Linked DNA regions of Callithrix jacchus. The protein of the gene in region 1 purifies or fractionates together with the protein of each later gene. This does not show direct contact. Links are inferred from orthologs where the notes say so. Each region holds a gene or a part of one and is shown on either strand. Other genes may lie near its edges.

What was found.
Region 2: the proteins of EIF4B (region 1) and EIF3A purify together in Homo sapiens (co-immunoprecipitation; 3 studies listed by BioGRID and IntAct, with this or other methods). This does not show direct contact. The link is inferred for Callithrix jacchus from reciprocal best matches to the Homo sapiens genes EIF4B and EIF3A.

What each region holds. Positions count from the first base shown.
Region 1 is NC_133510.1:66,554,477-66,558,568, reverse strand, and holds the start of EIF4B (eukaryotic translation initiation factor 4B), read left to right. Parts: upstream 1-1,259; 5' UTR 1,260-1,282; coding exon of another isoform or gene 1,283-1,295; intron 1,296-3,565; 5' UTR 3,566-3,609; intron 3,610-4,092. UniProt on the Homo sapiens protein: Required for the binding of mRNA to ribosomes. Functions in close association with EIF4-F and EIF4-A. Binds near the 5'-terminal cap of mRNA in presence of EIF-4F and ATP.
Region 2 is NC_133513.1:112,008,905-112,012,507, forward strand, and holds part of EIF3A (eukaryotic translation initiation factor 3 subunit A), read right to left. Parts: intron 3,478-3,603; coding exon 3,130-3,477; intron 1,723-3,129; coding exon 1,618-1,722; intron 1,537-1,617; coding exon 1,423-1,536; intron 1-1,422. UniProt on the Homo sapiens protein: RNA-binding component of the eukaryotic translation initiation factor 3 (eIF-3) complex, which is required for several steps in the initiation of protein synthesis.

The DNA.
Region 1 (4,092 bases):
GCACGGATAGCCCTGGGCTCTGAAATCCTAAAGGCCTGAGTTTTACCAAACCTAGTCAGTAAACTGGAGAATTAAGGGAGGTAAAAGCCATGGCAATTAAGTGTTCACCATTTGTTACCTTGTCATTCTGTCTAAACATGTCTCATTAAAACCATTCTTACAGATGTTAGATTTGTTTTGCCTTTACAAAAAGTAATTTGAAAACAAACTCAGGCCGGGGGCTCCCGCCTGTAATCCCGGCACTGTGGGAGGCCACAGAGGGAGGTAATACTTGAGCCCAGGAGTTCGAGACCAGTCTGGGCGACATAGGGAGACCCCCACCCCGCCCCACTCCGTGTCCACACAAATACTTGATTGCAGCTACTCAAGAGACTGAGGTAGAAGGACTGCTTGAGTGCCAGAGGTTGAGGATGCGGTGAGCGGAGACTGCGCCACTGCACTCCAGCCTGGGCGACAAGGCGAGACCCCGTCTCAAGAAATAAAAATAAATAAAACCAACTCAGTAATTTCTGATGTGGCCTTTAAAAACTAGACCGGGCGTGGTGGCTCACGCCTGTAATCCCAGCACTTCGAGAGGGCGAGGCGGGTGGATCGTCTGAGGTCAGGAGTCGAGACAAGCCTGGCCAACATGGTGAAACACCGCTTCTACTAAAAATACAAAAAACTAGCGGGTAATGGTGGCGGGCGCCTGTAATCCCAGCTGATCCGGAGGCTGAAGCAGGAGAATCTCTTGAACCCGAGAGGCGGGGGTTGCAGTGAGCCGAGGTCGCGCCATTGCACTCCAGCAGCCTGGGCAACAAAAGCGAAACTCCGTCTCAAAAAAAAAAAAACACCATTAAACTCAGAATCTTCCCTTTCTTAACATCCACTTATGGACACCCATTCCGAATCCATCAAGACGCGTCTCAGAGCAGAGTAAGCGGAACCAGCAGCGAAGCCCCGCCCTTGCCACCCCCTGCTCTGGCAGGAAGTCTGCGCGTCACGAGGCCGGCAGGGGCTTAGCTCCGGGCCCGCGTCCGCGTGTAGCCCTACGTAAAGCGTGAGGGGTTTCGCGACAGCCCAGGACCCACCCCTTTGGCCACATGTCGCGCATGTCTCCCCGTTGGACACTGTGCCACCTCGCCGCGCAACTTTACGAACCTAGAGCAGCGCCGCCCCGCCTCCTGTCTCCGTCCTCACCTCCCCGCCCCCTCCCAGCTTAGAGTCTCCTAGCCCGACGCGCCCACTAGAATCACGTGATTGCCTCATCCGGGTCCTTTGCGTTCTCTTTCCCTCTCCCAACATGGCGGCCTCAGGTGAGCGAGCAGCCGAGCGCGGCCAAGGACTGGGCTCTGAAACCCTCCTCCGAGCCTGATCCACTTATTTCCTGGAGTCGGGGAACTGCCAGCACCGGTTCCTTCCCGACTTGAGGGCTGCGGCAGGCTGGCGGCGTGGCCATGTTAGGTTGCTGCTTCGGGATGTTTGGGGGGAGGGGAAGGACACTTTCCCCTCCCCCTCACACTCTTTTCACACTTTCTGCGCGAGATTGGAATAGGCAGTAATGGTGGACTCAGGCTTGAATTGAAGAAGAAGGCGCAGAAAGGTGTGCGGGTGGTGCGAGGCGTTTTCATAGACGTGAAGCACCGTGCTCGCGTGAAGGCGTGGAGAAAGGAAGGAGGCGGTTGGTGCGCGGACGAGTGCACATTAGACTACGTCTACGATGCGCGAGGCGTAGCGGACCGGAGTCGGGGGCAGGGGAAAAGGGGGGGGCAGCAGTTAGAACGCCAGTGCGAGTCGGTGGAGGGGCGGGGGAAGGCAGCGGTGCGCGTGCGCCGTAGGAGATGCGAGGGTAGTGGAGACGGGCGCGCCTTCTATGCGTGCGCTAGAACCCAGATAGGAAGCTTTTACGCCCTGGTGTTGAGCTCTTCTTATGTCCTTTTAGGTTGTGCTCTTCCCTTTCTAGGGTGTGGCCCCGTGCCTGTACTTTTCCGAGGGTACGTCTGTTAGGCTTGGAGGTTGGTGCTATTGGAGTTAGATGGGGGTGGGGAACCCAGTATGGTGCGCCCACGTGTTGGAGAAGCACGGGTGTGCACCTAGATTTCTTTCTAGGTTTTTTTCTCTTACTCAGTTGGACGCATTTTTACTCAGCGCAGCTATATGCCAAGATGAGGTTTTCTTCTGGCGCTTCCATATTGGTTGAATTTGGATAGTTCCAGTGGTAGGTTTCAAGATTTCAGCCTTTTTTTTTTTTTTTTTTTTTGATAACTGTACAACCACCAGCAGGTACTTTTAAAATAATGCTTACTAGTGGCTGGAGTTGCTTACTTCTTTAGACATCTTTGGAGGGGAATATCAGTGCCATGCAAGCCTAGTTACATTTCTAATGGGCTTATAAGAGCATTGATGACCTAACATCTTGTAGCATTGATTTTAGTTTGGGGAATATAGTTTGTTTTCTCTGGCATGACCTTGCATTCTTCAAAACATTATTTGAACCTATCTTTGGGTGCTCATTTCTTACCCAGTAATTCATTTTCTCTATTACAAAGGAGATAAGGGTTATGGCTGGCTTTGGAAAACGTTGAGAAAATTGAGGTGCATTTGAACATCTTTCATTGGTGTAACACTTGACAGTTAACCAAGCACTTTTGTGCATGTTGTCTCCTTTGATCTTGAGGTAATGTAGAGAGATGGTGGTGGTTCCCAGCTGAGGAACATTATTTAAGGCCACACTGCTCTCAGCTGGCAGAGCAAGGTCAAAACCTTTGAGACTCCTTAGCAACTTAGAAGTACCAAGGTGTCATCTTCAGTTTTGGGCGCTGCCCGAAAGTGTCTGAAGTTTACAAAAGTTCATATTTTTTCTCCAGTGAGCTAGTAAAGTCCTAAATATATTTTAAACTAACCTTTGCATAAAGTACCTATTTGGTCTGGATTTGCCACCTTAACAGTTTAGTATCGTAATTTAGTGAAGAAAATCTGTGTTTTCTTAACTTTTGTGGAGCCTTTAGAGGCAGAAGACGACATGACAGCAATTCATGCCCTTCTTTTTACTGAGTTGAATGAAATTCAGACTGATTACAGGGATTTACTCAGTGACGTCCCATTCTCTTGTTCTTCCATATTTACCCCCTTGAAAACCCTCGTGTTCTTTCTTTCTTTCTTAATTTTTTTTAGACAGTCTCACTCTGTCGCCCAGGCTGGACTGCAGTGACTCGATCTCGGTTCACTGCCACTTCTACCTCCCGGGTTCAAGGGATTCTCCTGCCTCCTGACTAGATGGGATTACAGACGTCTGCTTTTTGTATTTGAAAACCCTCATCTGCTTTAATTCATTTTAGTGAATCTTTTTAGCTGGTACTGGTATTACTGGTATCTAAGCACAAGTCACATCTTTCAGTCTGCTCTTGAGGAATCTGGGGTTTATCAGATTTGTTTCCCCTCTCCTCTTCTCCAATCACATTAGCTTTGTGAAGTAACCGGTATTCCCTGATGTGGGAAGTGGATCTTGTGTATTCTCTGTGAAAATACATAAAACAACTTCATATCCCTCTTTAACTGTTAAATGAGACCAAAAAATTCTTTGCAGCAATACCAGTTTCCACTGTGACCCATTGACCTTCAGGAACTAAGGTAGGTGTCAGAACTGACTACAGAATGAGGATAGTTTGAATTCATAGAAACTTGTTGCATTGAGCCAGTACACTTAATTCCTTGTTTTTCCTTCTTAAAAAGAATTATTAAAGGCTGGGTGCTGTGGCTTACACCTGTAATCCCAGGAGGCTGAGGTCAGGAGTTCCGAGATCAGCTGGCCAACCAGTGGTGAAACCCTGTCTCTACTAAAAATACAAAAATTAGCTGGGCGTGGTGCTGGGTGCCTGTAGTCTCAGCTACTCAGGAGGCTGAGGCAGGAGAATCACTTGAACCTGGGAGTTGGAAGTTGCAGTGAGCCAAGATCGCGCCACTGCACTCCAACCTAGGTCACAGAGCAAGACTCCGTCTCAAAAAAGGAAAACATAATGGCCAGGTACGGTGGCTCATTCCTATAATCCTAGCACTTTGAGAGGCCAAGATAGCACTTTGAGAGGCAGATCATGAGGTCAGGAGTTCGAGACC
Region 2 (3,603 bases), on another chromosome or scaffold:
GGCTCACACCCGTAATCCCAGAACTTTGGGAGGCCGAGCTGAGAGGATAGCTTGAGCGCAATAGTTGAGACCAGCCTGGGTAACACAAAAGCACAATAAAGTAAAGCATAATGAAACGAGGTGTACCTATATATAGTAAAATAAAATAATGTGACACAGTAATAACAAATGCCATGGTTTAATTTTTAAAGGCATTTTCATCCTTAAAAACACCAGGATTTAATGCAGGATAATATAAGGCTATTTCCTTTCTGCCCTACGTGAAAAAACAGAAAGCTCAAAATCAACCCAATTTCGTGTGCGGCACTTTTCTAATTAATTTTTAATATTTACATGTTAAGAGAATTATCACAAAAATTCCAACTTTTCCTGAAAAAAAAAATGTGAAGAGCTGGCAATCCTAGGCCCATTAATCTCCAGGTGACAACCACCAGATGAAACCAAGAAAAGGCTGCATTCTCCTATCACACTCTACACTAATGTTTGTCTACCACCTACGGTTACTTTGTTAAACCAGGTCTGTTCACTCACTTTTATTACATATTTGCTGCCATAAGCATTTGTAAAACCCTGTTTTTGTATCATCAGGTAAATGTAATACATACTATAAACTAACAAAACTACAGAATGACCTATTTAGTTACAAAAGACCACACAGTACACAATTCCATTTATATGAAATGTCCAGAATCAGCAAATCTACAGACAGTAGCAGTTTGGTGGTTGCCTAAGGCAGGGTTGGTGAGGAAGAACAAAGATGACTACTGCTAATGGGTTTAGAACTTCTTTTTGATATATGTTTTAAAATTAGACTGTGGGCCGGGCACGGTGGCTCACGCCTGTAATCCCAGCACTTTGGGAGGCTGAGGCTGGGAGCACAAAGTCAGGAGTTCCAGATCAGCCTGGCCAATACGGTGAAACCCTGTCTCTACTAAAAATACAAAAATTAGCTGGACTGGTGGCAGGCGCCTGTAGTCCCAGTTACCTGGAGGCTGAGGCAGGAGACTCGCTTGAACTCAGGACGCAGAGGCTACAGTGAGCCGAGATCGCGCCACTGTACTCCAGCCTGGTGACAGAAAAAGACTCCATCTCTAAATAAATAAAGTGTATATAAACCAGTTTTTTGTAAAATGAGCTTTTCAGTTATCCTTTGTTTTACAAGACTCATTTGTAACCTAAATCGTGAAATTTTCCATCTTTCAATTTGTAAAAGAAAAAATAAAAATAAAAATTATAATAATATGGGGAAGGGGGTTGGGGGAGGCACGGTGGCTCACACCCATAATCCCGTAATCTGTTAATAGGCAACCATTAGAGCACCATTTCTAACAGATTCTGAAAGCAATTCTGAATCCTTGGTTCCATTACTGGCAGAGGATTTAATTATAATCTAAAAATATTACAATTAAATTAAAAACTTACTCTTTCTTCTTCTTGTTGTTCCCACAGATCCATGTCTTTAATTCTCTGTTCCTCGTAAGCACTCTTTATCAAAGGAATTTCTTCCAAACGTTTGGCTCTTTCAAAATAGTCAATCTAAATGACATGAAAACAAACGTCGTTTCTACAAATCTCTTTTAACTTGGTATGTTAAGGGTTTACCCATCTTTCATTTACCTTCTTTTCTTGATTCTTCAGGCGTTCTTGGAGTTCTTTCTTTTCTTTCTCCAGTTGTTCAACCTGTTTAGCCATGATGAAATCTGGATCCAATTCTTCAAGGTCCTGAAAGGTAATACGAATGCACAATTGTTAATAAGGATAAACAAGCAATGCCTAACATAATTCACTGTTTTCTAGAATAAAATCCTAAATTCCTTTTATTGTTACAATGGGTGATAATTTAGGAAATGTAAAAGTATCATAAAATAGCCTTATTTCCATTTGACCGTAAGGAAAAAAAATCCACACATCTTTTTCTCACTCTTCTAATTTACATCTCCCCATACTCTACTATAGGGTGAGCAAACCTAATCCAAAAACTCATCTGAAATGCTCCAAATTTTAAAACTTGGTGAGCACCAACATGGTGCCACAAATGTAAAATTCCACACCTAACACATGTGACAGGTCAGTCAAAATGCATTCAGAACTGTTTCATGCACAAAATTGTGTAAAATACTGTATAAAGTTACCTTCAGGCCATGTGTATAACATGTCTATGAAACAGACCAGTCATGGTAGTTTGCACCTGTAATTCCAGCACTTTGGGAGGCAAGTGCAGGTTGATCACTTGAGGTCAGGAGTTCAAGACCAGCCTGGCCAACATGGTGACACCACCATCTCTACAAAAATACAAAAACTAGCCGCCAGGCGTGGTGGCACAAGCCTGTAATCCTGGCTACTTGGGCTGAGGCAAGAGAATCACTTGAACTCAGGAGGCGGAGGTTGCAGTGAGCCAATATACCACTGCACTCCAACCTGGGCAACAGAGTGAGACTGTCTTTAAAAAAAAAAAAAAAAAAAAAAAGTGTCTTATGAAACAAATGAATTTCGTGTTTAGCCTCTGGTCCAAACCCCAAAATATCTCTTTATATGTATATGGAAATATTCCAAAATCCAAAGAAATCCAAAATCTGAAACATATCTGCTCCCTAGCATTTTGGGTAAGGGATACATAACCTGTCCTGTGATTAATATATAGCGGTTAAAACTGCACAGAGCAGGCCAGGCACGGTGACTCAGCCTGTAATCCCAGCACTTTGGGAGGCTGAGGCAGGTGAATCACCTAAGGTTGGGAGTTTGAGACCAGCCTGGCCAACATGGTGAAACCCCACGTATACTAAAAATACAAAAATTAGCTGCACGTGGTGGCGGGCACCGGTAATCCCAGCTACTCGGGAGGCTGAAGCAGGAGAATCGCTTGAACCCGGAAGGCAGAGGTTGCAGTGAGCCAAAATCACATCACTGCACTCCAGTCTGGGAAATAAAAGTGAGACTCTGTCTCAAAAAAAAAAACAAATTGCACAGAGCGATTAAACATATGCTTATTCACAGATTTAGTCATGACCAGCTGTACCAAAATGCATAAAATAACTCAAAATAAGCCAACAAATGGCAAAGGACTATGGTTCTAAGCGTATAAAAGACCTGGATAAAACTAAGTTTTTTAACGACTAAAATGCTACACACTTCAATGTCAATATCTTTGAATGCTTTGGCACCCAGTTCCGTTTTCTTGATCTGCTCCAAACGCTCTCGGACAGTTTTCTTTTTGATTTGTTCATGTTCCTGCAAGATACGCTCCTTTTCTCTCTCCTTGGCTTCCTGGCGCAGCCTCTCTTCCTCAGCCTTTCGTACTTTCTGGAGTTCAGCTTCCCTCTGTTCCAATTCTTCTTTCTCACGCTGAATATTCAAACTCTCAAGGCGCTCTTTTCTTTCCTCAATTGTCTGGCGACGAGCCAGGATCCGCTGGTGCTCTTTTCGTGAATTTTTTAGGTATGCAGTAACCGCCAACTGATGCTGTTCTTCTTTTTCTTGCTTCGAAAACAAATGAATTTTGAAAAATGAACAAAATTAATATTCTCTGGTAGTAGGCATCAAAGAAATTACAAAATAATCCTGATGCACTGCCTTTCTATGTATCTGCATTTGATATTGGGAAGA